4 linked regions of the Saccharomyces cerevisiae S288C genome follow. The main gene of each other region encodes a partner of the protein of the gene in region 2 in a complex. Each region holds a gene or a part of one and is shown on either strand. Other genes may lie near its edges. The genes, in order: HTA2, KAP114, NAP1 and SPT15. A codon is read from its position in the direction of its gene.

What was found.
Region 1: the proteins of KAP114 (region 2) and HTA2 are in contact, whole or in part, in a cryo-EM structure (PDB 8F0X), measured with the Saccharomyces cerevisiae proteins. Residues at the interface, in NP_011273.1 of Saccharomyces cerevisiae: Ser70 (codon at 2,427), Gly72 (codon at 2,433), Glu74 (codon at 2,439), Ala120 (codon at 2,577), Val121 (codon at 2,580), Asp122 (codon at 2,583), Phe123 (codon at 2,586), Pro124 (codon at 2,589), Asp125 (codon at 2,592), Asp155 (codon at 2,682), Asp156 (codon at 2,685), Val157 (codon at 2,688), Val158 (codon at 2,691), Ser159 (codon at 2,694), Glu160 (codon at 2,697), Gln203 (codon at 2,826), Asp859 (codon at 4,794), Ile861 (codon at 4,800), Ile862 (codon at 4,803), Thr863 (codon at 4,806), Arg864 (codon at 4,809), Ser865 (codon at 4,812), Met866 (codon at 4,815); in NP_009552.1 of Saccharomyces cerevisiae: Gly24 (codon at 2,954), Glu58 (codon at 2,852), Tyr59 (codon at 2,849), Ala62 (codon at 2,840), Glu63 (codon at 2,837), Glu66 (codon at 2,828), Leu67 (codon at 2,825), Asn75 (codon at 2,801), Lys76 (codon at 2,798), Lys77 (codon at 2,795), Arg79 (codon at 2,789), Ile81 (codon at 2,783), Pro82 (codon at 2,780), Arg83 (codon at 2,777), Leu87 (codon at 2,765), Arg90 (codon at 2,756), Asn91 (codon at 2,753), Asp92 (codon at 2,750), Glu94 (codon at 2,744), Leu95 (codon at 2,741).
Region 3: the proteins of KAP114 (region 2) and NAP1 are in contact, whole or in part, in a cryo-EM structure (PDB 9B3F), measured with the Saccharomyces cerevisiae proteins. Residues at the interface, in NP_011273.1 of Saccharomyces cerevisiae: Val927 (codon at 4,998), Asp928 (codon at 5,001), Asp929 (codon at 5,004), Tyr939 (codon at 5,034), Asp942 (codon at 5,043); in NP_012974.1 of Saccharomyces cerevisiae: Arg290 (codon at 2,817), Lys291 (codon at 2,814), Gln292 (codon at 2,811), Arg293 (codon at 2,808).
Region 4: the proteins of KAP114 (region 2) and SPT15 are in contact, whole or in part, in a cryo-EM structure (PDB 8H5B), measured with the Saccharomyces cerevisiae proteins. Residues at the interface, in NP_011273.1 of Saccharomyces cerevisiae: Ser205 (codon at 2,832), Asn208 (codon at 2,841), Asp263 (codon at 3,006), Ser361 (codon at 3,300), Glu363 (codon at 3,306), Thr364 (codon at 3,309), Gly365 (codon at 3,312), Leu366 (codon at 3,315), Ala368 (codon at 3,321), Ser369 (codon at 3,324), Tyr370 (codon at 3,327), Asp374 (codon at 3,339), Asn377 (codon at 3,348), Glu378 (codon at 3,351), Thr381 (codon at 3,360), Leu421 (codon at 3,480), Tyr510 (codon at 3,747), Tyr513 (codon at 3,756), Glu546 (codon at 3,855), Asp547 (codon at 3,858), Glu554 (codon at 3,879), Gln558 (codon at 3,891), Ala590 (codon at 3,987), Asn591 (codon at 3,990), Val592 (codon at 3,993), Gln593 (codon at 3,996), Val596 (codon at 4,005), Gln597 (codon at 4,008), Tyr933 (codon at 5,016), Leu936 (codon at 5,025); in NP_011075.3 of Saccharomyces cerevisiae: Val71 (codon at 5,174), Thr73 (codon at 5,168), His88 (codon at 5,123), Ala89 (codon at 5,120), Arg90 (codon at 5,117), Asn91 (codon at 5,114), Arg98 (codon at 5,093), Phe99 (codon at 5,090), Arg105 (codon at 5,072), Arg107 (codon at 5,066), Glu108 (codon at 5,063), Lys110 (codon at 5,057), Leu114 (codon at 5,045), Phe116 (codon at 5,039), Lys120 (codon at 5,027), Met121 (codon at 5,024), Val122 (codon at 5,021), Thr124 (codon at 5,015), Lys127 (codon at 5,006), Asp131 (codon at 4,994), Leu134 (codon at 4,985), Arg137 (codon at 4,976), Lys138 (codon at 4,973), Arg141 (codon at 4,964), Ile142 (codon at 4,961), Gln144 (codon at 4,955), Lys145 (codon at 4,952), Ala150 (codon at 4,937), Lys151 (codon at 4,934), Phe152 (codon at 4,931).

What each region holds. Positions count from the first base shown.
Region 1 is NC_001134.8:232,770-239,390, forward strand, and holds HTA2 (histone H2A), read right to left. Parts: upstream 3,024-6,621; coding exon 2,625-3,023; downstream 1-2,624. Other genes in the region: UTP20 (Utp20p), read left to right, coding at 1-2,348; HTB2 (histone H2B), read left to right, coding at 3,723-4,118; ECM15 (Ecm15p), read right to left, coding at 4,384-4,698; alpha,alpha-trehalase NTH2, read right to left, coding at 6,172-6,621. UniProt on the Saccharomyces cerevisiae protein: Core component of nucleosome which plays a central role in DNA double strand break (DSB) repair. Nucleosomes wrap and compact DNA into chromatin, limiting DNA accessibility to the cellular machineries which require DNA as a template.
Region 2 is NC_001139.9:43,226-48,959, forward strand, and holds KAP114 (karyopherin KAP114), read left to right. Parts: upstream 1-2,219; coding exon 2,220-5,234; downstream 5,235-5,734. Other genes in the region: TAD1 (tRNA-specific adenosine deaminase), read left to right, coding at 82-1,284; ankyrin repeat-containing protein ANK1, read right to left, coding at 1,427-1,972; anaphase promoting complex subunit DOC1, read left to right, coding at 5,388-5,734. UniProt on the Saccharomyces cerevisiae protein: Required for nuclear protein import and mediates docking of import substrate to distinct nucleoporins. Serves a receptor for nuclear localization signals. Mediates the nuclear import of TATA-binding protein (TBP) and of histones H2A and H2B.
Region 3 is NC_001143.9:522,957-530,567, forward strand, and holds NAP1 (histone chaperone NAP1), read right to left. Parts: upstream 3,685-7,611; coding exon 2,431-3,684; downstream 1-2,430. Other genes in the region: UIP5 (Uip5p), read left to right, coding at 1-390; YKR045C (uncharacterized protein), read right to left, coding at 462-1,013; PLN1 (Pln1p), read right to left, coding at 1,267-2,118; FMP46 (putative redox protein), read right to left, coding at 3,874-4,275; TRK2 (Trk2p), read left to right, coding at 4,859-7,528. UniProt on the Saccharomyces cerevisiae protein: Acidic protein, which assembles histones into an octamer (in vitro). Involved in the regulation of the localization and the function of the septins during mitosis. Involved in the function of B-type cyclins.
Region 4 is NC_001137.3:463,714-470,686, reverse strand, and holds SPT15 (TATA-binding protein), read right to left. Parts: upstream 5,385-6,973; coding exon 4,662-5,384; downstream 1-4,661. Other genes in the region: mRNA-binding ubiquitin-specific protease UBP3, read left to right, coding at 1-1,001; SPI1 (Spi1p), read right to left, coding at 1,871-2,317; PEA2 (Pea2p), read left to right, coding at 3,217-4,479; cohesin-loading factor complex subunit SCC4, read left to right, coding at 5,845-6,973. UniProt on the Saccharomyces cerevisiae protein: General transcription factor that functions at the core of the DNA-binding general transcription factor complex TFIID. Binding of TFIID to a promoter (with or without TATA element) is the initial step in preinitiation complex (PIC) formation.

The sequences.
Region 1 (6,621 bases), on a different chromosome or scaffold from region 2:
CCTCGTCCAGTATGATTGTTAAGATTATAATGGAAAATATCTTTGGGTTCGCTGGTGAAGAAAAAGACTCTGAGAATTATCATACAAAAGTGAAAGAAATTAAGAGTAATAAAAGCTATGATGCTGGTGAAATTCTCGCCTCAAACATCAGCCTGACAGAATTTGGAACATTACTCTCTCCTGTGAAGGCTTTGTTGATGGTCAGAATTAATCTAAGAAATCAAAACAAACTGAGTGAATTATTGAGACGATATTTGTTGGGTTTAAATCATAATAGTGACTCTGAGTCAGAAAGTATCCTCAAGTTCTGCCATCAGCTTTTCCAGGAATCAGAAATGAGTAATTCCCCTCAAATACCAAAGAAAAAAGTGAAAGACCAAGTAGATGAAAAAGAAGACTTTTTCTTGGTAAATTTGGAGTCGAAATCTTATACCATCAACTCAAACAGTTTGCTTTTGAACAGCACTTTACAAAAATTTGCTTTAGACTTACTTAGGAACGTAATAACGAGACACCGCTCCTTTTTAACTGTCTCGCACCTAGAGGGTTTTATTCCATTTTTGAGAGATTCGTTACTTTCGGAAAATGAAGGTGTGGTAATTAGTACTTTACGTATCCTGATTACATTAATTAGGCTAGATTTTTCCGATGAATCTAGTGAAATCTTCAAAAACTGTGCGAGGAAGGTACTAAATATTATCAAGGTTTCTCCTTCAACTTCAAGCGAATTATGCCAAATGGGTTTAAAGTTTCTTTCTGCCTTTATACGTCACACAGATTCAACATTAAAGGATACTGCTTTGAGTTATGTTCTAGGGAGGGTCTTACCAGATTTAAATGAACCAAGCAGACAAGGCCTTGCTTTTAATTTCCTAAAAGCACTTGTTTCAAAACATATCATGCTTCCAGAACTCTATGACATTGCGGATACTACTAGGGAAATCATGGTCACAAACCACTCAAAAGAAATTAGGGATGTATCCAGGAGCGTTTACTACCAATTTTTAATGGAATATGACCAAAGTAAGGGTCGTTTAGAAAAGCAGTTCAAATTTATGGTCGACAATTTACAGTATCCTACCGAGTCCGGCCGTCAGTCCGTAATGGAATTGATCAATTTGATTATTACAAAGGCTAATCCTGCTTTACTATCCAAATTATCATCTTCCTTCTTTCTGGCGCTAGTTAATGTTTCTTTTAATGATGATGCGCCAAGATGCCGTGAGATGGCTTCAGTATTGATTTCCACCATGCTTCCAAAGCTTGAAAATAAGGACCTTGAAATTGTTGAAAAATATATAGCCGCTTGGCTAAAACAGGTTGATAATGCATCCTTTTTAAATCTTGGGTTGAGAACTTATAAGGTCTACTTGAAAAGTATTGGGTTTGAACATACTATTGAGCTAGACGAGCTTGCCATCAAGCGTATAAGGTACATTTTGAGCGATACGTCGGTAGGATCAGAACATCAGTGGGATTTGGTATACTCAGCTTTAAATACGTTCTCATCTTATATGGAAGCAACAGAGAGCGTTTATAAACATGGTTTCAAAGACATATGGGATGGTATTATCACATGTCTCTTGTATCCGCACTCATGGGTCCGTCAATCGGCGGCAAATCTTGTTCATCAACTCATAGCCAATAAGGATAAGCTGGAGATATCATTAACCAATCTGGAAATTCAAACCATTGCAACAAGAATTCTTCACCAATTAGGTGCGCCTTCTATTCCGGAGAATCTTGCGAACGTCTCAATAAAAACATTAGTTAATATCAGTATCCTATGGAAGGAGCAACGCACGCCGTTCATAATGGATGTATCAAAACAAACTGGAGAGGATCTAAAATATACTACCGCCATTGATTATATGGTAACTCGAATTGGTGGTATTATCAGGTCGGATGAACATCGTATGGATTCTTTTATGTCGAAGAAGGCGTGTATTCAGTTATTGGCCTTATTAGTTCAAGTTCTGGACGAAGACGAAGTAATTGCAGAAGGGGAAAAGATATTATTGCCGCTATATGGTTATTTAGAAACATATTACTCAAGAGCAGTTGATGAAGAACAGGAAGAACTACGCACTCTTTCAAACGAATGTTTAAAAATACTGGAAGACAAATTGCAAGTATCCGATTTTACAAAAATATACACTGCTGTCAAACAGACCGTATTAGAAAGAAGAAAGGAAAGGAGATCTAAAAGGGCAATTCTGGCTGTTAACGCTCCACAAATTTCTGCTGATAAAAAGTTGAGAAAGCATGCGAGATCGAGGGAAAAGAGAAAGCATGAAAAGGATGAAAATGGGTATTATCAAAGACGTAACAAAAGAAAGAGAGCCTAGCTGTAATATATCTTTATAACATGTATACTAATGAATAAAAAATCCAAGTTATAACGTCAAAGCTGTAGTACGTTAGCATTTCCGTAAGTAAAACCGTAAACTTGATACGTTTTTTATTTTCTTTATTAATAGTAATACTATACACTGTCTTTAATAAAACGACGCTATTTATAAAACTGTTAGATAAAAGACATACCAGTCTTCCTCATATGACCTACTTTAAAACCCCAAATGACAAGAATGTTTGATTTGCTTTGTTTCTTTTCAACTCAGTTCTTACAGTTCTTGAGAAGCTTTGGCAGTCTTGGCAGACTTCTTTGGCAACAAGTTTTGGTGAATGTTTGGCAAAACACCACCTTGGGCGATGGTAACATTACCCAATAGCTTGTTCAATTCATCATCATTTCTGATGGCCAATTGTAAATGTCTTGGAATAATTCTGGTTTTTTTGTTATCTCTAGCAGCATTACCAGCCAATTCTAAAATTTCAGCAGCCAAATATTCTAAGACAGCAGTTAGATAGACTGGAGCACCAGAACCAATTCTCTGGGCGTAGTTACCTCTTCTTAGCAATCTGTGCACTCTACCAACTGGGAATGTTAAACCAGCTTTAGCAGATCTAGATTGAGAAGCTTTAGCAGCTGAACCAGCTTTACCACCTTTACCACCGGACATTATATATTAAATTTGCTCTTGTTCTGTACTTTCCTAATTCTTATGTAAAAAGACAAGAATTTATGATACTATTTAATAACAAAAAACTACCTAAGAAAAGCATCATGCAGTCGAAATTGAAATCGAAAAGTAAAACTTTAACGGAACATGTTTGAAATTCTAAGAAAGCATACATCTTCATCCCTTATATATAGAGTTATGTTTGATATTAGTAGTCATGTTGTAATCTCTGGCCTAAGTATACGTAACGAAAATGGTAGCACGTCGCGTTTATGGCCCCCAGGTTAATGTGTTCTCTGAAATTCGCATCACTTTGAGAAATAATGGGAACACCTTACGCGTGAGCTGTGCCCACCGCTTCGCCTAATAAAGCGGTGTTCTCAAAATTTCTCCCCGTTTTCAGGATCACGAGCGCCATCTAGTTCTGGTAAAATCGCGCTTACAAGAACAAAGAAAAGAAACATCGCGTAATGCAACAGTGAGACACTTGCCGTCATATATAAGGTTTTGGATCAGTAACCGTTATTTGAGCATAACACAGGTTTTTAAATATATTATTATATATCATGGTATATGTGTAAAATTTTTTTGCTGACTGGTTTTGTTTATTTATTTAGCTTTTTAAAAATTTTACTTTCTTCTTGTTAATTTTTTCTGATTGCTCTATACTCAAACCAACAACAACTTACTCTACAACTAATGTCCTCTGCCGCCGAAAAGAAACCAGCTTCCAAAGCTCCAGCTGAAAAGAAGCCAGCTGCCAAGAAAACATCAACCTCCGTCGATGGTAAGAAGAGATCTAAGGTTAGAAAGGAGACCTATTCCTCTTATATTTACAAAGTTTTGAAGCAAACTCACCCAGACACTGGTATTTCCCAGAAGTCTATGTCTATTTTGAACTCTTTCGTTAACGATATCTTTGAAAGAATTGCTACTGAAGCTTCTAAATTGGCCGCTTATAACAAGAAATCCACTATTTCTGCTAGAGAAATCCAAACAGCCGTTAGATTGATCTTACCTGGTGAATTGGCTAAACATGCCGTCTCCGAAGGTACTAGGGCTGTTACCAAATACTCCTCCTCTACTCAAGCCTAAGTCACTCACTAGGTATTGTGATTTAGTCATGTTTTCTTTTTATTAGTGGCATTTTTTATATATTGTAACATTAGGGTTCTGTTACTTGTCCAGATATGATTGGAAGGGTCTAGTCTATCAGCCTCCGAAGGGAGTTGTATAAATGTATATATATAACTTTATAAACAAAAAAAATTGGGAAAGATATTTTGCAAACAGTTATTATTAAATTGTTTCTTAAACTCTCCTTAAAGATATACCCTATTTAGGTTCACTACACGAGCATTCATTGAGAAATTTTTTTTAAAACAACATCGATCTTATCTTGAGCAGTTTGGTGCTTATCAGTTCTAGTCCCAACACGAATATCAGTGTGTACTCTAACATATCCTTTCTCATGACCGTATTCATGGATTTCGCCAATCAAACCCATCACATCATCCCAAGGCCCTTCAATTGTTGTTCCTGCACTGTGTAAAGTGCTCTTTAATGGGCTTTCTCTGATTTTTTTTTCAATGAGTGCAACAAAATCAGAAATACTAGCAGAGTCGGTGCCAATAGGGACCATACACACGTCCGCTAAACAAAAGATCTTGGGCATTTTCTAAACTTGTAGTTTATGTGCTTTATAGTTAATGATCACGACGGCAATGACAAAAACTGAATATCTTGATCTCTCCTTTTGACGATGTCAGTGAATCCCGGTTAATGATATTCTGTTTTTCACGGGGTGGAAAAGAGGGGAGCTTGAATCATACTAAAAAAGGAATGTCAAAGAGCTATATAATTCGAATAAAAAGTAAAAGAAACGAAAGGTTTTATTAAAGGGTTTGGAGCTGTTTTCGGACTGAAAGCCAGTAACAAGCTTGTGTAGGAGTTTGTCTGAAAACCATCTTCATTTCAAATAAGAGAGCGAGTAATTTTTAAATAATTTCTTTTCTGAACTACTTAAATCGCTATGTACCTTGCGAAAATTATTCTTTAATAGTTTAACTAAAAGTAAAAAGTTAGAAATCATAAATAAAAAATCAAAGAGACAAATCTCGTTGCAAAAGCTTGAAAAATAGTGCTTTACCAACAGGTTGGCAAACCAGAATGCTAACAAAACTTAAAATCCCATTTCCCAAGAGGATCAATCAATCATATTTACCTTGATAGTATAGGATACAAGTGTCTGTGCAGGCCTCCGATAACATGTAAAGTAATAAAAGTAGGAGTACTTGCTTTCAGCAGAAAATGAAAAAAAGAACGTTCAAACAGACTGAAAATATAGCTATTCAACTGGCACCTACTAATATCAATAATAATAAATTAATCTTGAGCAAATTGATCCTACATAAATCATGTGACTTATTTATTTAATTATTATTAAGTAAAAAAGATTTTCTATTTAAATTTATTAATTAATTTTTTTTCTTAAATAATTATTTTATGTTTTTGTTTTCCGAAAAAGAAAAATATTTCAACAAGAAGTATCAATATATTTCTTGCAAAAAATTGTTCACCGAGAATTGACAAAAAAACCTTACGTCGGTGACGACGATATACAGATCCTATATTCTTCATGTATGTAATAGATTCCCATACCTTCTTCGCATTTAAGACACTAATAGAAATGAAAGCTTTCTATTAGTCATTCTTCCTATGCACTAGACCACGCAAAGGTGAACCGGCTTGGTACGAGAATTCTATCACACGGTAATGATAGTGTTCCCGATGTCAAGCAGTCTTATACAGTACTACCCAAGAGCTTAAGAATAAGCAAGAAGATCTGGCAAGCTACAAGGTACTCATAACGATCTTCAAAGCGTAAGTTATGATCTTATGAAAATCAGACTTTTTTGTCTCAACAAACTCCTAGTTTGAAGATGTTACTGAAATGCCCTTCAAACACTTTTACTTGAAAATCATCGATTACTATTCTAACCTTCACAAATGAGCCTTTACACAACTTGATTAATAATAATATTTGACCTTACTCTAAATCGTCTCAAATATTACTGAGGCACAATCTCATGGTTATTGATAGAAAGAAGAATATAACATATATCTTATTTACATATGTTCGTCAATATTATAGGTAATACAATTTTTTCTCAGAGGGTTTCAAACTATTGAAAAATGGCAATGGTGGACTACAAGCAGCGAGAGCCCTTCTTGCATGATTATTCATATATTTCAATCCGAGCAAATAACTTGTGTTCACCCAACCAAAGCCTTCTGTAGCGACGCCCTTAAAATCAGCACCTTGATTACCATATTCCGCATCAACGCGATGCGGATCAGTCCCTCTTGTCACATCATATTTTTCTACCACCATTCCGTTATAATCAACAAATGATTTTGTAATCATGTACAGCCACCTATAAGCCAATCTTGTAGCTACTTGTTGATAACCATATGCAGATAAACCTTTCCAGGCTAATATTTGGTGCGGCGCCCAACCAAAAGGATAATCCCATTGCCTGATCGGTCTATCAATAGAAATAGGACCTCTTGATTTTTCTGTGCATGCAACTAGTCC
Region 2 (5,734 bases):
AAATATACTAAATAAAAATAATACTATCATCGTTGTGATGCAAAAAAAAAAAAAAATGAACAGAAAATAATAGTGATGTGAATGGTTTCGTGCCAAGGAACAAGGCCATGCATAGTAAACCTTCTCACTATGCCAAGTGAGGATAAATTGGGTGAAGAGATATCAACGAGGGTGATTAATGAGTATTCAAAACTAAAATCTGCCTGCAGACCAATAATTAGGCCTTCAGGTATCAGAGAGTGGACAATATTGGCAGGTGTTGCAGCTATTAACAGAGATGGCGGTGCGAATAAGATAGAGATACTTTCCATAGCTACTGGTGTGAAGGCTTTGCCAGATTCAGAACTACAAAGAAGTGAGGGGAAGATTCTGCATGACTGTCATGCAGAAATACTGGCATTACGAGGTGCTAATACAGTTTTATTAAACCGTATTCAAAACTATAATCCATCAAGTGGTGATAAATTCATTCAACATAATGACGAGATACCTGCCAGATTCAATTTAAAGGAAAACTGGGAGTTGGCATTGTACATCTCGAGATTGCCCTGTGGTGATGCCAGCATGAGTTTCCTGAATGATAATTGCAAAAATGATGATTTCATCAAAATAGAAGATAGCGACGAATTTCAATACGTCGACCGTAGTGTGAAAACAATATTGAGGGGACGCTTGAATTTCAATAGAAGAAATGTCGTTAGGACTAAACCAGGAAGATATGATTCCAATATCACTTTATCTAAATCCTGTTCTGATAAATTATTAATGAAACAACGGTCGTCGGTACTGAATTGTTTAAATTATGAACTCTTTGAAAAACCTGTATTTTTAAAGTACATTGTGATTCCTAATTTAGAAGATGAAACGAAACATCATCTAGAGCAATCATTTCACACTCGTCTACCGAATCTAGATAATGAAATTAAATTCCTGAATTGCCTCAAACCATTTTATGATGATAAATTGGATGAGGAGGATGTTCCTGGTCTAATGTGTAGTGTCAAGCTCTTTATGGATGACTTTAGCACCGAAGAAGCGATTCTTAATGGCGTGAGGAATGGATTTTATACCAAATCATCGAAACCACTGAGGAAACACTGTCAATCGCAAGTAAGCCGGTTTGCACAATGGGAACTATTCAAAAAAATAAGACCAGAGTATGAAGGAATAAGCTATTTGGAATTTAAATCTCGTCAAAAAAAGAGAAGCCAGTTAATTATCGCAATAAAGAACATTTTATCTCCCGATGGTTGGATACCCACCAGAACGGATGATGTGAAGTAATATATATATATATTGTTGAATATGCGTATATGCACACTTTTTTGTTAGTGCACCTTAAAGAAATATATACACAGTAGAAATATCTATATATCCAGAGTTCATCTATCTTTCCCTCTCTGTGGTATTATCATCACATATTTTATCATTTTTTATCATCTTCTTCGTCATCGTCAGATGGACCATCATCTATCATTTCCCCATCCTCATTGTTATCACCTGATCCATTGGTACTATCAATCGCTAACTCGGCACCCTGCAAAAGGTCAATTAATTCATCCAGTTCATCACCATGAACCAAATCAACTGGCTTTTGATTGTTATAGTTTCTCACCCTAGGATCCGCACCCACTTCAATTAAGTTTCTAGCAATAAAAGTTCCATGCTCAGGCTCCTCTTGACTGTATCTGACAGTAACATGTAACGGAGTGTCGCCATCAACGTCGTTTTGTGGGTCTATTTCGATTTCACCGTCTTGATCGAGAATCTTGTCGAGAACTTCCCAGGATCCATACTTACAACATAAATGTAACGCTGTATTCCCCAGTGGTTCTTTGGATTCGTTAATTAGCTTTGCAATCTTCTCAGGATCATTATCTAAGCTATCAAATACGGTCTCCAAAAGATCCAGATTGTTTCTTCTAGCTGCATCCAGCAATTGTTCACTTAAAGAAGCACCTTCAGTATTCATGATCAAAAAAAGAAACTAATTTATTTTGTGAAAAACTTCGACTTCTTTCACTTATGACTTTTTTCACTGGGATTCAGAAACTACCTCACAGGACCCCTATATAATGAATTTATTGTCAACCTTTCTATCAACGCGTTATACCTTGGGTATACTAGGAAAAAAAAAAAAAGATACATATGGATGTATATGACCTGCATACACGATCCGAAAATCTTGAACGTAATTGTAACACTATCAACACATTAAAATGGATATTAATGAATTGATAATAGGTGCTCAATCAGCTGATAAACACACTAGAGAAGTTGCGGAAACGCAATTGTTACAGTGGTGTGATTCCGATGCATCTCAAGTGTTTAAAGCGCTGGCAAACGTTGCCTTACAGCACGAAGCTTCTCTAGAATCGAGACAGTTTGCTTTATTGTCGTTAAGAAAATTGATCACCATGTATTGGAGTCCAGGATTTGAATCATACCGTTCTACATCGAACGTCGAAATAGATGTTAAAGATTTTATCCGAGAAGTGCTACTGAAATTATGCTTAAATGACAATGAAAATACCAAAATAAAAAATGGTGCATCTTACTGTATTGTTCAGATATCTGCGGTTGATTTTCCTGATCAATGGCCGCAGCTTTTAACAGTTATTTATGATGCTATCTCTCATCAGCATTCATTAAATGCGATGTCTTTATTGAATGAAATTTACGATGATGTCGTATCTGAAGAAATGTTCTTTGAAGGCGGAATTGGCTTGGCGACAATGGAGATCGTTTTCAAAGTACTCAATACAGAAACTTCTACTTTGATAGCCAAAATTGCTGCTTTGAAGCTACTTAAAGCATGTCTTCTACAAATGAGCTCCCATAATGAGTATGATGAGGCGTCACGAAAAAGTTTTGTCTCCCAATGTTTAGCTACTTCTTTACAGATATTGGGACAATTGTTGACTTTGAATTTTGGAAACGTAGATGTTATTTCTCAGTTGAAATTTAAATCCATTATATACGAGAATTTGGTTTTTATTAAAAATGATTTCTCTAGAAAGCATTTCTCAAGTGAATTACAAAAACAGTTCAAAATAATGGCAATCCAAGATCTGGAAAACGTTACCCATATAAATGCAAATGTCGAAACTACTGAAAGTGAACCCCTTTTAGAAACAGTTCATGATTGTTCTATTTATATTGTAGAATTTTTGACTAGTGTTTGCACTTTGCAATTTAGTGTTGAAGAGATGAACAAAATTATAACATCTTTAACCATTCTTTGTCAGCTAAGTTCTGAGACAAGAGAGATATGGACAAGCGATTTCAATACATTTGTATCGAAGGAAACAGGCCTAGCAGCATCATATAATGTTAGAGATCAAGCCAATGAATTTTTTACTTCATTACCCAATCCTCAACTTTCCCTAATTTTCAAAGTTGTTTCCAACGATATAGAACACAGCACGTGTAATTATTCAACTTTAGAATCTTTACTATATCTCTTACAGTGTATTTTGCTTAATGATGATGAGATAACTGGTGAAAATATCGATCAATCTTTGCAAATTTTAATAAAAACGTTAGAAAATATCTTAGTATCACAAGAAATACCAGAATTAATATTGGCGCGTGCAATTTTGACTATTCCCAGAGTACTAGACAAATTTATAGATGCATTACCTGATATCAAACCCTTGACATCTGCATTCTTGGCAAAAAGTCTTAATTTGGCGCTAAAATCTGATAAAGAGCTCATTAAATCCGCAACATTAATAGCATTTACGTACTATTGTTATTTTGCCGAACTAGATTCAGTCCTTGGACCAGAGGTCTGCTCAGAAACCCAGGAAAAAGTAATTCGAATAATCAACCAGGTTAGTAGTGATGCCGAAGAGGACACTAATGGGGCTTTAATGGAAGTATTAAGTCAAGTCATTAGCTACAATCCGAAAGAACCTCATTCAAGAAAGGAAATTTTACAGGCTGAATTTCATCTTGTGTTCACGATCTCATCCGAGGATCCAGCAAATGTACAGGTCGTTGTACAAAGTCAAGAATGCTTGGAGAAACTATTGGATAATATCAATATGGATAATTACAAAAATTACATTGAATTATGTCTCCCATCATTTATTAATGTGCTAGATTCCAACAATGCAAACAATTATAGATACTCACCCCTGCTATCATTAGTCTTGGAATTCATCACAGTTTTTTTGAAGAAAAAACCCAACGATGGATTTTTACCAGATGAAATAAATCAATACCTATTTGAACCATTAGCAAAAGTATTAGCGTTCTCTACTGAAGATGAGACCCTACAGTTAGCCACGGAGGCATTCAGCTACCTGATTTTCAACACAGATACACGAGCCATGGAGCCAAGGTTAATGGATATCATGAAGGTTCTAGAAAGGCTGCTGTCTTTGGAGGTATCGGATTCAGCCGCTATGAACGTCGGTCCATTGGTAGTTGCCATATTCACAAGGTTTTCAAAGGAAATCCAACCGTTAATAGGAAGAATTTTGGAAGCCGTTGTGGTAAGGTTAATTAAGACACAAAACATTTCTACTGAGCAAAACCTTCTTTCTGTATTATGCTTCTTAACGTGTAATGATCCTAAACAAACGGTGGATTTTTTGTCTAGTTTCCAAATTGACAATACTGATGCTTTGACATTGGTGATGCGAAAATGGATAGAAGCCTTTGAAGTCATTAGAGGTGAAAAAAGAATCAAAGAAAATATCGTTGCTTTGAGCAACCTTTTCTTCCTGAACGACAAAAGGCTACAGAAAGTGGTTGTCAATGGTAACTTGATACCATACGAAGGGGACCTGATCATTACAAGATCAATGGCTAAGAAAATGCCAGACAGGTATGTACAAGTTCCACTTTATACCAAGATCATTAAATTGTTTGTTTCTGAGTTAAGCTTCCAAAGTAAACAACCGAATCCAGAACAATTGATCACAAGCGATATTAAGCAAGAAGTGGTAAATGCTAATAAAGATGACGACAATGATGATTGGGAAGATGTAGATGATGTACTCGATTACGATAAGTTGAAAGAATATATTGATGATGATGTCGATGAAGAAGCAGACGACGATTCAGACGATATAACGGGACTCATGGACGTGAAGGAATCTGTTGTTCAGCTACTGGTAAGATTCTTTAAAGAGGTTGCAAGCAAAGATGTGAGTGGCTTCCATTGTATTTACGAGACTCTATCCGACAGTGAACGTAAAGTTCTTTCAGAAGCCCTTTTGTAGCTTATATACATAAGCCGTGGAGATATCAGATGTAAAGTAGTTAGAGTAGAAAAAATGCGGCAAAATAAGCGCCGTCTATATAAAAGAAAGAAAGTGTTAAATAAACTGACCACAGAAGGTGGCAAAAATAATACGAGATTTAGAAGTCAGATAATGGACCCGATTGGAATAAACAAAGTCTTGGACCATTTAGCACCCTCAGAGCTTATCAAACCTGTTAAGAGTTGCCATAATAAACCTTCAGTGTTGGTGTTGGATGACAGGATTGTGGATGCGGCAACCAAAGATCTCTACGTGAATGGGTTCCAAGAAGAGATTCAGTATCAGAATCCTACACCGGAGAACTTGCAACATATGTTCCACCAAGGTATTGAAATATTGGATTCGGCAAGGATGATCAACGTGACACATTTAGCGCTTTGGAAGCCTTCTTCTTTTAAGTTGGGGAATCCTGTGGACTTTGCTCTAGATGATAACTACGATACGTTTTGGCAGAGCGA
Region 3 (7,611 bases), on a different chromosome or scaffold from region 2:
GTATCCACTAGCGAATTCCATTGGAACGACATGGATGCGTCCATTGAGGACACCTATGATTACGCAAAGGAAGCTGAGCTATTCCTGGAGCAGGAATTTGGCGAGGTCCTTGACAGGGAACCCGATGAGTTCACCAAATGGAAAATGATCAAAGCTCAACCAAACATCAAGACTGGGTCACAGTCAGCTGAACAGAAAACTTCAAACAATCCTCACTCTCGGTTGTTCAAGGTCGTGCTGACCATATGGCATTATAGCGAGATTTTGCTATTGATCATGGGCATTTATCTTTTTTCTGCTTGCATAAGAGTTTTCCAAAGAAGGTTCAAAAAAATTAGATCCAGAAGAAAAAGGGCAGGCTCGCATTCTGTGGGGCTATTGCCCATGTAGCATTGCATAGGCACGCACATACATACATACACAAATAATACAATATAGGACGTTCATCTTAGGTAGCCAATTCACGGTCTTCTTGTGGTAGTGTTACTTGCGTTCGACGGCGGGAGGGTTCTTGATCGATCCAATATACTCTGTGGTGGGATGGCCAGAACGCTAGAATTCGTCTCAAACGTCCTGTTAGAGAATATTGTGGGCCTCGTAGACTGTATTGAATGAATGTCCGAGAAAGTAGACGACTTCACTGACGAGGAACAAAACGATACTAGCGGAATAACACTTGCGTTGTCGTTTTGTTGTTGCTGCTGTTGCTGCTGCTGCTGTCTTACTTTGCCTGTTGGTGGTTCATCCCATGCCACTCGACGGTCTCCTTCGTCATCGGATTCGCTCGAATGCAACGAATTTCGATCAACCAATGGTCGCAACGACGAACTGATGGTTGTTCCATCCGGATCCAACTCAGCACGCTTAACTCTTGTGGGGCCAGCCCTAGTGCCGCGTCTTGGTTTACTGCTCGAGACCGATGCGTTAGTTGTGGTAGTGGTGTTTATTATTTTTTTAACCCACACTGAAAGTTTGTTTCTTCTTCCCTGGGATGTATGATGACTGTTTGACATGCTAGGACTTTCCCTTGGCACCATGTATATTCACTTTTATTGTCTCTTGATCGAGCTATAACCAAATTTTTTTTTTTTTTTTTTTTTTTCGTTTTTATAATTTTTTCTTTGGTATTCAATTGTATATAGTGCTCAAACAGCAACGTACATAATAGCTAGCAAACAATAGATGAAATAATAGAATAATAACAAATAACTATATAAGAGTGGCAGGAAAAAAAATCAGGCGCACGATTAGCGCAAAACCAAATTACTAATTGGTCGACACAGCCGCGGGCTTAGAATTGGTTTGGTCTTCTCTTGAGGCCTTTAGCTTCTCAATGGTGGCATTGCCCAAGTCCAACCCGGTGGATACAATGGCTTTAGGGACGCTTTCAGATTTACTTAGATTGTTTTCATAGACAGTGGTGAAGCGTTGGTAGGTTTCGTTAAGCTTAGTCTTTGTTGGGTCGATGTACACAGACTGCAACTTGTCAGTTGTGGGCTTCACTATGGCGTCGTACTTTTCTTTAGCCAGGTCCTTGGTTGGGTCGATATAGTTCGACTTGACCTTGGACTGGATCTCCTGCGACATACCTCTGGTCGTTGAAGACAACTCTGCCACGTGGGGCAAAGAAGAAGCATCAGTGACCTTGTTCTCCTCACCGGAAGAGCCGATCTCCTTCGATGCGGTAGAACCTTGCAAGTGCAATGGCTTGATCAGGAACTCCCTCAACAGAGTATTAGAAATGTTGGCGACGTAGTCGACGAAGAACCACACCAGCCAGATCCCTGGCGTGTTGGAATGTGATTTCCAATTGTACAGCAAGCCGTCGACACCCTCCTTGAACACCAAGAGGTTAACTAACTCGTCCAACTTGAAGGCCCCTTCCTTCCCAGCAGCAACAACTTGCTTCACCAGACGAGGAGAGCTGGACGATTCGGAAACCCACTGGTTCACAGATCCCAAAACAACGAGGTTGAAGGAAATCAATCTCTCCACAGGTGGCAGAGATTCCGCATATTTAATAAACTTGGATAAAGCTGGGTATCTTTGCAGATGCGACCAGGTTGCTTGTGGCAATTCCACAGATGGTTTAGAAGAAGAAATAGATGATTCAGACATAATTACGCTACGGTTCTGGAGAGTGAGTGATGGTTAATGATTACCGATACATTCCGTTATCTTTCCTTTTATAACCCTTGCTGCTATATTATTAAATCCGAAAGAATACGATCATCCCCCACGGCGGAGAAAATCTAGGCTATTATTATCATTATTATTATTATTATTGTCGTCTTAGTTACATGCGCTTTAACATATATTTCAGCTTACACACTTACATGTATATACATATATATATCTATATATGTATGTATACATATGTATATAAATATATGAATACGGTTATGACCACTCTTGCGAAGTGCGTTGGGATTATGACTGCTTGCATTCAGGAGCCTGTTCCGGCCTGCCAGCAAAATCGTCTTGCTCTTCGGCAGATTCCCCGTCGTCATCCTCCAAGCCGTGATCATCATCTTCTTCTTCGTCTTCGTCCTCGTCCGCTTCTTCTTCGTCCTCCTCGAACTCGAATTCCAAGGCTGCGCCGGTAAACCAGTCCACGGCTCTAGGAATTAGCTTGTCCTTAAGTTGTTCCCCGATGGAGTAGTCTAAAGCTAGACGTTCCTCGAGGTCTTCCTCCAACTCCTCGTCTTGGTCTTCGTTTTGGATCTTGGGAGGGTCGAAGAAGTTGAAAAAGGATTCTATGGGAGTGATCTTCTCGATGGTCCTCACCTGCTTGGTGGTCTTGTTTCTCTGCTTGCGCATTTCTAGGTCCACAGTGACGTTGTGGGCGTTGTCCTTCCAACTGATCTCGCAGCCTTCTGCGTGGTCGTAGATAAAGTCCCCGGAGTAACCGAGCTCCTTCTGGTAGAAGTAGGTCTTGCACAGAATGTCGTTGGTGAAGAATGGGTTGGCGGAAGAATCAAATCTGAACAACAGCTTGAAACCGGGTCTACCATCCGTCAAGTATTCCAGACCAATATCTTGCAGGTACTCCAGAACTTCCGCATCGCGGTCAGTGATCGTGTCGCAAACGATGGGCAAGTTCTCTAATGCGGTTAGCCAGAATGAGGGAATTCCCTTCACCTGTTCCTCCTCGGAATCATTTTGGGCCTTCTCTTCTTCGTCCACCAACAACTCCGTCTCATTGAGTGACTCCACAATCTCTTGGCCCTTTGCGATCTGTTCCGGCTTGGGTTGCTCTTGTCCTGAAATGATCCTGGACCGCTGCTCCCAAATGGGCTTGTACTTCTGCAGAAACTTGTTCTCTAGCTCAAACATCTCCACCTGAAATTCCTTTTCAACTTCGAATAGCTCGCTTTGTAAAGTCTTCAAGCTCAGCAGCTTTTCCTTAACGTTCTTGGGAAGACCCCCCACATACCCGCTGTCCTGGCCCACCAGCGAGCCAAGTCTGTCCTGGATGGACTGTAACAACAGGGGTTGGTTAGCCAAGATGTCCTCCTCGTTGATGGTGCCGATCTTGTCATCCTGCTCCTGTGCCTGGGCCCTAACTGGGTTGCCGTTTTTCAAATAGCTCGGATTCAGAACCGATGCTGGGGTATTGTGAGGCGTAGGGGCGTTGTCGATTTGCATCGACGACTTGGGTTTCGTTCTGATAGGGTCTGACATGATCTTGCGCTTTGCTCTTGGTCCCACTGGGCTCACTAAATCCTCCTAATCTACCATCAAACTGCCATTTTTGATCCCAAACGCTGCTATTTAAAAGGAAAAATTTTCCCAATTACGCGGGTAATACAAAAAAGATATAGCCCATTGTTATAAAAATATGTATGTGTTCAATATAGTGGTATATAGGTGTTATTTGCGCTGAATGATGTACTTGTCAATGTCTGCGGGCTCATTTCCCACCAACTTGTTTTCCCAGTCGACCCAAAGCGCCTCCTTTGGATTCCAAAGTCCCCTCTGGACACACTTCTGCAGGTCCATCCCGAACGTCGGGTCTGTGTGCTTGTATTTGAGCACTGAATCCAGCTTTGGAATCTGCCTTTGCAACGAAACTGGGCCTTGCGGGCACGAAGTTCTCATGTATTGCAGCTGGTCCCACGTGGGAAAGCGGTTGGCGATTTCCACGTCGAATCGATGAGAGACGTCTCCCTTCAGCAACTGCAGGCATTTCTGCGACTTGATATTGGACGCGATGTCATTGGTAAACAACGAGATGGTACGTGGCTGTCTCTGCAATGTTTTCCAAAACGACATTTATTGCGTTTGCGTTTGCGATCTCCCGGTCTGTTATTTTCATTTGCACTTTTCTTAACGTTCTCTTTTGGTTTTATATGCCCCTTTCCAAGCTGGGTGGATACCCCGTCCATTGAGTGCCCGTGCCCAATCAAGCTAAAGCCAGACTAAAAAGAGGAAGAGTTCAAGAACCATCAATGCCTCCAGCACAATTTCACAACAGCTTGACACTTTGGCAACGGTTATATCAGAGCATAGCGACGGGATTAGAGAGATGCAAGACGACGGAAGAAAGAAGGGAGTGCCCGGCATGCGCTGAAAGCGCCCTGTAGTACAAGCGTACCGCCGTTGAATAGGCCATGGTACATCACACGATGATTGATAATTTGATGCAAGCTGCCATGCTCAGATGGTTGTTTCCCGTTTCTCTCTTTCACTTTTGATCTCCTGCGAAGAATAGGATGAGATGTGAATTTTCGTTTCTAATCCCCTCGGCCGTGCGGCTGAAAAAGAGAAATGATATTGGAATAACTAGGTTTCAGATGATGAGAAAAGAGGCTATTTTGTACTATTCACCGACGATAAGAGGCTGTAAGAACCACTCATGCCAACAGCTAAGAGGACGTCATCCAGGGCTTCGTTGGCACTGCCCTTCCAGTTACGGTTGGTGCACAAGAAATCATGGGGCCATCGGCTAAGAGACTTCATTTCCGGGTTCTTAAAATCATGCAGACCCATTGCTAAATACGTTTTCCCCAACTTCATCGTGGTGCACTATATCTACCTGATCACGCTGTCGATTATCGGGTCCATTCTGTTATATCCGTGCAAGAACACGGCGTTCATCGATGTGCTATTTCTGGCTGCTGGAGCGTCTACACAGGGCGGGCTGGCCACCAAGAGCACTAACGATTTCAACCTGTACCAGCAGATAGTGGTGTACGTCATTACATTGCTGTCCACGCCTATACTTATTCATGGGTTTTTGGCCTTTGTCAGGCTGTATTGGTTTGAAAGGTACTTCGACAACATTAGGGATATCTCCAAACAGAATTTTAAACTAAGAAGGACCATGACGTTGCAACAAAGGGAACTATCGGGCAGCAGTGGCAATGCCGCTCGAAGTAGGAGTTTCAAGGACAACCTGTTCCGTGGGAAGTTTGTTTCCAGAGAAGACCCACGACAATCCGCTTCAGATGTGCCGATGGACTCTCCTGACACGTCCGCATTGTCCTCAATCTCACCGTTGAATGTTTCCTCCTCTAAGGAGGAATCCAGTGACACGCAAAGCTCGCCTCCAAACTTCTCAAGTAAGCGCCAACCCTCAGACGTTGACCCAAGAGACATTTACAAATCGATAATGATGCTACAAAAACAACAAGAGAAGAGCAACGCAAACTCCACGGATTCTTTTTCGAGCGAGACCAATGGACCCGCTTTCATTGTGCAGGAACGTCATGAGAGAAGAGCCCCCCACTGCTCACTGAAACGCCATTCTGTCCTGCCATCTTCTCAGGAATTGAACAAGCTAGCCCAGACGAAAAGTTTCCAGAAATTGCTTGGCTTGCGGAGAGATGAAGGTGACCATGACTACTTTGACGGTGCTCCTCACAAATATATGGTCACCAAGAAGAAAAAAATATCTAGAACGCAATCATGTAACATCCCAACGTATACTGCTTCACCGAGTCCTAAAACCTCAGGCCAAGTAGTTGAAAATCATAGAAACTTGGCCAAGTCGGCGCCTTCATCTTTTGTTGATGAGGAGATGAGCTTTTCACCGCAAGAGTCTTTGAATTTACAGTTCCAAGCGCACCCGCCCAAACCAAAACGACGTGAAGGTGATATAGGCCACCCCTTCACCAGAACAATGAGCACCAACTATCTATCGTGGCAGCCAACCTTTGGCAGAAACTCCGTCTTCATTGGACTCACAAAGCAACAAAAGGAGGAACTCGGCGGTGTCGAATATCGTGCTTTGAGATTGCTGTGCTGCATTCTCATGGTATACTACATCGGATTCAACATTTTGGCGTTTGTGACCATCGTTCCATGGGCCTGTACGAGGCACCACTACTCAGAGATTATTAGACGAAATGGAGTTTCTCCAACCTGGTGGGGGTTTTTCACTGCAATGAGTGCATTCAGCAACTTGGGTCTGTCTTTGACCGCTGATTCAATGGTTTCCTTTGATACTGCGCCGTATCCGCTGATTTTCATGATGTTCTTCATCATCATAGGCAATACAGGCTTCCCAATTATGTTACGATTTATCATTTGGATCATGTTCAAGACCTCGAGAGACCTATCTCAGTTTAAGGAAAGTCTTGGGTTTCTCTTGGATCATCCGCGCAGGTGTTTTACGTTGCTGTTCCCCAGCGGCCCCACATGGTGGCTGTTTACAACTTTAGTCGTCTTAAACGCTACGGATTGGATTCTTTTCATAATTCTGGATTTCAACTCCGCTGTAGTAAGGCAGGTTGCTAAAGGTTATCGAGCTCTCATGGGCCTCTTCCAGTCTGTATGCACAAGAACTGCTGGATTCAACGTTGTTGACTTAAGTAAATTACACCCGTCCATTCAGGTGTCTTATATGCTAATGATGTACGTTTCGGTCCTGCCGCTGGCGATTTCCATTAGAAGAACGAATGTTTATGAGGAGCAATCGTTGGGACTATACGATAGTGGACAAGATGACGAAAATATCACCCACGAAGACGATATAAAGGAAACAGACCATGATGGCGAATCCGAAGAGCGAGACACTGTATCTACAAAGTCCAAGCCGAAGAAACAGTCCCCAAAATCGTTTGTTGGTGCTCATTTGAGGAGGCAACTCTCTTTTGATTTATGGTACCTATTCCTTGGATTATTTATAATATGCATATGCGAGGGCAGAAAAATCGAAGACGTTAATAAACCTGATTTCAATGTCTTTGCTATATTGTTTGAAGTTGTTAGCGCTTATGGTACAGTGGGTTTGTCATTGGGTTACCCAAACACCAACACATCACTATCTGCCCAGTTCACCGTATTATCGAAGCTAGTCATAATTGCCATGCTAATAAGAGGAAGAAATAGAGGTTTACCATACACTTTGGATCGTGCCATCATGCTGCCAAGTGACAAACTGGAACAAATTGATCGTTTACAAGATATGAAAGCTAAGGGTAAGTTGTTAGCCAAAGTTGGTGAGGATCCAATGACTACTTACGTCAAAAAGAGATCCCACAAACTGAAAAAAATAGCAACAAAGTTTTGGGGGAAGCATTAAAATCAAGTTTACCCCTCTTTACCTACATAAGAGCCAACGTAATTTTCTCTCAGTATTATATGTATTATCTCCGAAGTTTATTA
Region 4 (6,973 bases), on a different chromosome or scaffold from region 2:
GGGGCCATCAGGAAGACGCAGAAGAATTTTTGACCCACTTATTGGACCAATTACACGAGGAATTAATTTCTGCAATTGATGGCTTAACCGATAATGAAATTCAAAATATGCTGCAAAGTATTAATGATGAACAATTGAAAGTTTTCTTTATTAGAAATTTGTCACGTTATGGAAAAGCAGAGTTTATCAAAAATGCTAGTCCTAGACTGAAGGAGTTGATAGAAAAATATGGCGTGATCAATGATGACTCTACCGAAGAAAATGGTTGGCATGAAGTGAGCGGATCTAGCAAAAGAGGCAAGAAAACTAAGACCGCTGCCAAGAGGACTGTCGAGATTGTTCCATCACCAATCTCCAAACTTTTCGGTGGCCAGTTCAGATCTGTGTTAGATATACCGAACAATAAGGAATCTCAATCGATTACACTCGATCCGTTCCAAACAATTCAATTGGACATTTCAGATGCTGGTGTGAATGATCTAGAAACTGCATTCAAAAAATTTAGTGAATACGAATTGCTACCCTTTAAGTCCTCGTCAGGGAATGATGTCGAGGCCAAGAAGCAGACTTTTATTGATAAATTGCCGCAAGTTCTTTTAATCCAATTCAAAAGATTCTCATTCATAAATAATGTGAACAAAGACAACGCAATGACGAACTATAACGCGTACAATGGACGTATTGAGAAGATCAGGAAAAAAATTAAATATGGTCACGAGTTAATCATACCTGAAGAATCAATGTCTTCCATAACATTGAAAAACAACACCTCAGGGATTGATGATAGAAGATATAAGCTAACCGGAGTTATATACCATCATGGGGTAAGTTCCGATGGCGGTCATTACACAGCGGATGTTTATCATAGCGAGCACAACAAATGGTATAGAATAGATGATGTAAATATTACCGAACTAGAGGACGATGACGTTTTGAAAGGTGGCGAAGAAGCTTCTGATTCGAGGACTGCCTATATTTTAATGTATCAAAAGAGAAATTAAGACGGGGGGTGGTATTATAGACAAAATACATAAAAAATAATATAGCAATAATACAATACAATACAATACAATACGATAGTGAGCACGATTTTAAAAAAGAAATAGAGACAGACAGAGAAACAGAGTTACACTTTATGCTTGGCATATTTAAAAAATGATTTCGCCCAGGATCGAACTGGGGACGTTCTGCGTGTTAAGCAGATGCCATAACCGACTAGACCACGAAACCAATTATTTCTTGGAGATGAACATTTAAGAAACAAATACCTTGTAGAAGGAATGTGAATTTCAAAATATTATGGCCTTTGGCAACAATGGAATCACAACAATTATCACAAAACTCATACATCTCTTAAGATTCATTTCTTACTTTAAGTAATCATCCAAATTTAGCCAAAGTTTGATTTTACCTAAAAAAAGCAGAGGATTCCCGATTTCAATCATATGTGCACAGACGATGAGTCCAACACGTTATCGTTAACATAGTGCTCAATATTGCCACTGCGCTTCGCAGGAGCATATTTCGTATACGCCAAGCCCAAGGAGGGTTTTGTCATTAAGCAGCTTACGCCAATTAAGTGCTAACCTCGAAGCACCATACTTTATCTCAGGATTTACAAACTCCCTATTGCACAACGGCAAACAACATAATCATGACCAAATGGGTAAAAAAGATGAGCTGTGAAAAAGCCAAAAAAAAAAAGGAAGAACTAGAATTACATTTATTATTCTACACACAAAAAGAAAAAATAGTTTCTTTATTTAAATGATTTGAAGAAAAAGAACTATAACGACTACATCGAAGAATACAATATTAGTAAAAAACACATGTCCTGTTTAAAATAAGTCTCTAGTTAAAGACTATTCGATCATAAAAGCATCATAACTGCACCAGCCAAACCTAGGGCTCCTGGGATTGCTCTTGCGTTAGCAGCATTAGAATTTGTCTCCACATCATGTGTAGAAGAAACCGATGTTTCTGAAGTAGGCTTCTCGATAGTGCAAGGACAGTTGGTAATTGTTAACGTAGTTGGGGCAGTAACAGTGAATGTAGCGCCATTCGTTACGAAAGTCGTTGGTTCTGGGCAGTAAGTAGTGAATTCACTGACAACTTCGTACTGTGTTGCAGTAGCAGTCGAGTTGTAGAATATTGGAGCGGCGGATGATGGCTCTGGTGCTGGCGTGGCTGTATCGTTACCGGCAATAGTAGCATCGCTTGATGGTACCACGATTACAGAGGAACTAGAATTAGATACCAATCCGAGAGCCGTAGAGGCCATGGCCAATGATAGAAGGAGCTTAGCGTTAGACAACATTATTAGTAATAGTACTGATTTTATTTTTGTGTATTGGATTCTTTTTGAGTAGAAAGTAAGATCAAGAGAGTGCAAGTGAAAGACGAACCTGGCAAAAGTAGGCCGACTTTTTATATAGATATACTTACACTTTTCCAGCTAACAGGGATGGAAAGCCCTCATTTGGGCATCTGGGAACTTCGAGAAGTTTTTTTCTTCATCTGGCATAAATTCTTCCAGAGGAGGCTATAACAATAGATCTTCTAACAAGCCGAGGGGTGAGGGGAAGGAACGTCATCGCCTAAATGGGATATCAATTAACCAGATTAGGTAACTTGCGTCCCGGACCTTCAAATAAATACTCGCGGGATTCGGGTTCGAGCCCCGATAGGGGCCCCCAGTCCCGGCATGGCTTTAACCCCATATGTGCTCCTCCAGAGATTAAGCACTAAAGGCTAGATGAGACAAGCACTAATTTCAATGAATTAGCTTTGAATATGATATTTCTTCTTCCCCCGTATTCAAAGAGTCTACTCCTCACGGTTACAATTGAAGATACACTAAAATTCGGTCCATATTGACACCGTTGATGAAGCGTCACTTCTGGATTTTTAGCATAAACTTAAAATATCTTGCATTGTGTACTATTACAGTGGTCCAAAGACGTTCTCCTCTCGCCTTGTTCCAAAATCCCAAAATGTTATGTATGAATGAATGAGGGAAACGTCAAAAATTTTTCATTACCTCGCCACAATTATGCCTTTTCTTGCAAGTCGCGCTCGCGTCAATAAACACATGATGAGTATGTGTAAAGTGATGATGATGGTATGGTAACAAATAGTTGAGCTGAACAGATTACAAAAGATACTATCGAAGTCCTGTGTTCGAGAGGGAGAATAACGGTGGATATCACGTTTCATATGCATAAATTTGATCTAGAGCTCTCGAGAAGAGCGAACCCTTTGCTTTTTAGTGCAGAACGATACGAAGAGTATCCATTGAAATACGATGAATTGAAACAGTACCTTCTCTCCCAAAATCCGTCACATCCGCATCACAATAGTAGACCATACACTTCCATTGACTATTTTGACTATCTTCTGTATAGAAGTAAAAATGACGAGTCAGAAATAGACCTTGACAAAAAGCTAGTGTCTGAGTTCGCCCTATACTACGTTCAAAAAGAGCACTTGAACTCTGATGATCTAAATCCCACACTCAATGAGTTGCTGAAGCTGCAGCCGAAGTCTGCGGATTGGTATGAAATGATGCTGAGGATCCTTGAATCCATTAACACTACAGGGATAGACCAGCTTACGAAGGAAAACAACAACAGTTTCCCAAATTCTAAAAGAGCGAGGTCTTCCACTAATATGGGTGGCACAGATAAATTTAACAAGGGTGCTTACCATACTGACAAAGCTGATGACGATAAAAATGAAATACTTCAAGAATTAACGTCCTTCTTGATGTCAAACTCCATTCAGAAAGGCATTGATATCAAGCCAATACCATTAGATGACCCTGTGAAGTTCTTGAAAAATGGGATAAATTCTATCTTGGATACCTGCGTCAGTCTAGAAAAAAATACGTCATCACCACCTATTTCGCCTAACGCCGCTGCAATTCAAGAGGAAGACTCCTCTAAAAAATTAGAAGAACTAGAAACGGCATTTAGTGATTTGCAACTGGCACACAATTTCTTGACTAAGCAATTCGAGAATGACCGTGCCGAATATGTACAAGATATCGAGAAGCTAACGCGGACTAACAGAGAATTACAAGATAAGTTATTAAACAACCACTCGAATTTGAGTAAAACTGAAAAGAAATTACACGAATTGGAGCAGGAAAATAAAGAACTTGAAAAAGCCAACAACAAGCTGAATTCAAGCAGACATAATTTCGGCATGTCATCACCAGCGAGTTCGCCGGTGACTTGGGATCCAAGTTCACCTTCCTCTGTAGGAAGCCCCACAAGCGGTTCTGGATCACGTTCACTTTCAATAATGACAAGTGAGTTTAAAAAAGTGCTTACGAGTACACAAAGAAAGTATGAAAAAGAATTGTCGGATGAGCGTGAACATAGATTCAAGCTGGAAAGGGAGCTTGCTTTGCTGAAAAATGCAGAGGCAAACACCTCGCTGGCGCTTAATAGAGACGATCCACCAGATATGCTATGAATAAACATCTTATTATAAAACATTGATATATAAATATAGAATAAGAAGAATATACTATAAAAAACCGTTTGATATTACAATTACTTCTTCTTCCTTTTCTTTTATTTCTTTGAGGACCATTAATAATTGAGAAAATGGAACAAATAGAAAACCTTTTTTTCTTTTCGTCTACTCCTTCCCCATCACATTTTTCTAAATTCACTTAGCACAGGGTATATAGCTTCAAAAGCTTGGTAAATTTCTTCCCTTTGCTTTGCACCAGTAAGAACAATCTTTCCTGAAACAAAAATTAACAACACAATTTTCGGCTTCACCATTCTATAGATCAAACCAGGAAACAATTCTGGCTCATAGGAGGAGAAAGTACCATGACTGAATGCTAACCCTTCTAGACGTATAGGGAATTTAACGTCACACGAACCGACAATATTTTGTATTTTGAAGTCTGTGAATTTAGCAGCAAACCCGATTTTTTGGATAATTCTTGCATATTTTCTACTGGCCAGCTTTGAGTCATCCTCACTTTTTGCACCGGTAACAACCATTTTCCCTGAGGCAAAAATTAAAGCTGTAGTTTTTGGCTCTCTAATACGCATGATGACAGCAGCAAAACGCTTGGGGTTATATTCTGCATTACGGGCATGTAGCGCAACTGTTTTCAGATCTAACCTGCACCCCAAAGTCACAGTTGCCACAATGTTTTGTAGTGTTGGAACAATACCTGATGTGGCGGAGGTGTCTTTTTCAGATTCTGGGGCAGCTCTTTTTATGTCCTCTTCACTCTGGAAAGTAGTTGCTGGTTTTGTACCATCTCGATTCTGGTTTTCCCATACTTGTCTGGTATTTGGATCAAACACTATCTTGTTTGCCTCTTTAAACTCCTTTAAACGTTCCTCATCGGCCATAATTAAAAAAGTTTCTCTTGATACACCTGTTTATGTTGGACTAGAAAAGAAAAATAAAATGCAGCCTTTACTTCCTTGCTTCTTCCGCAGAGCAGTCTAACTAGTAGTCGTTTTATTTCTTATGTGTTATCTTTCCCCCGATCTTATAGTCCAAAAAAAACAGTAACTACTGTAATTTTCACGTCCCTTGTTTACTCTTACCATCAAGAATACCTATCAAGGTAAAAAAAGTCATTAGTAATCCTTTGAAGCCATGTTTTATATGTAGATCTTCAAATTTTTTTCTTTTCCCAAAAAGCTCGCGTAAGAGAAACTTGGAAGATAACTATTTACGGCTTCACAATTAAAATACGTAAAGAGATGAGTTAGATCTATCAGCAAAGGGAATCCCGACATCTCAGCTATCAGAGGGGAATCAGTATTGGTAGAAATTGAACGATTTCGAAAGAAGTACAAATTCATGGAAAATCTTGGCGACAAACTTAGTATTTCACAAGTATACCACTTAGCACAGGAATACAGAGACCATGCATATTCAATTGCGAATAAAATCGGTTCTGAGGAAGGGTTGAAGCAGTATTATGGCCTCATGAACATGTCTATCCAGATGTTTCAGCTATTGAAAACGAAATGTACGCTTTCAGTTCTGGAGGATAGTAAGGTCACGTTTGAGATGGTGGAGTTATTGATACAGGAGACGTATAATTTTGACCTAGCAGAGCTTTACATTTCCAGTTTGAAAGAACGGTTACAAACGCACCAGAGCGACACAGATTTGGTAGAAGAGATCATGCGTTGCGAGTTTCTGCTGTTACATGACTTGCCACTTATGAGAGACAGTAAGTTCCACTATAAGATTGCACTAAGAAATTGCAATGAATTAGTCCAGTACATGGTAAATTTGCAGGATGAGTTGTATCAAAATTGGGCATCCGTATTCCAGTATGTCGGCGTGATGCTTTGCATTAAGCTGAAACAGCACCGCAGGGTGAAGACGAGTTTTCATGGGCTACTCTCGCAATGTCGGGAAAAGTCACAATGGAAATGGTTTCTAAATCTGTGTTATGTGAATTACTTGCTAAATGAGAGGTTCCCAATCCCCGAGGATGCTCTGCAGGAGCTGCGAAGCACGGAGCTGCACACGGTGGGGCCTGAGCTATATGCATGGAAGTTGGCATTAGAGATGGTAATCCAGCTTTGTAAAGACGGGAATATTACGGACCACTTGAACGAATTCAAAAATTTCTTTGACACAAACAAGCAATCTCTAGTCACTAATGAAGGTAAGGGATGTGTGATCAAAATCATGCCAAGGATAGCGCTGAAAGTAGAGTTGCCTATGATTTTCCACTACAAAGAATTAAAGAACATACTGTTATTATTGCAAAGTGTCAGCTACATCGTGAACTGTTATGACGAAAAGGGCAATTTTTCCAGGAAGTTCCTCCCCAAAGTCTATTCTACAACGCAGAAACTGATTAAGAACATTGCCGCTGGCGGTGTTTCGATGAATGAGCTGGACTCACGAATCCAGACATACAAGAGCATTCTTGAATTCTGTGAGTTTTACAAAGTGTGGGAACAAACAC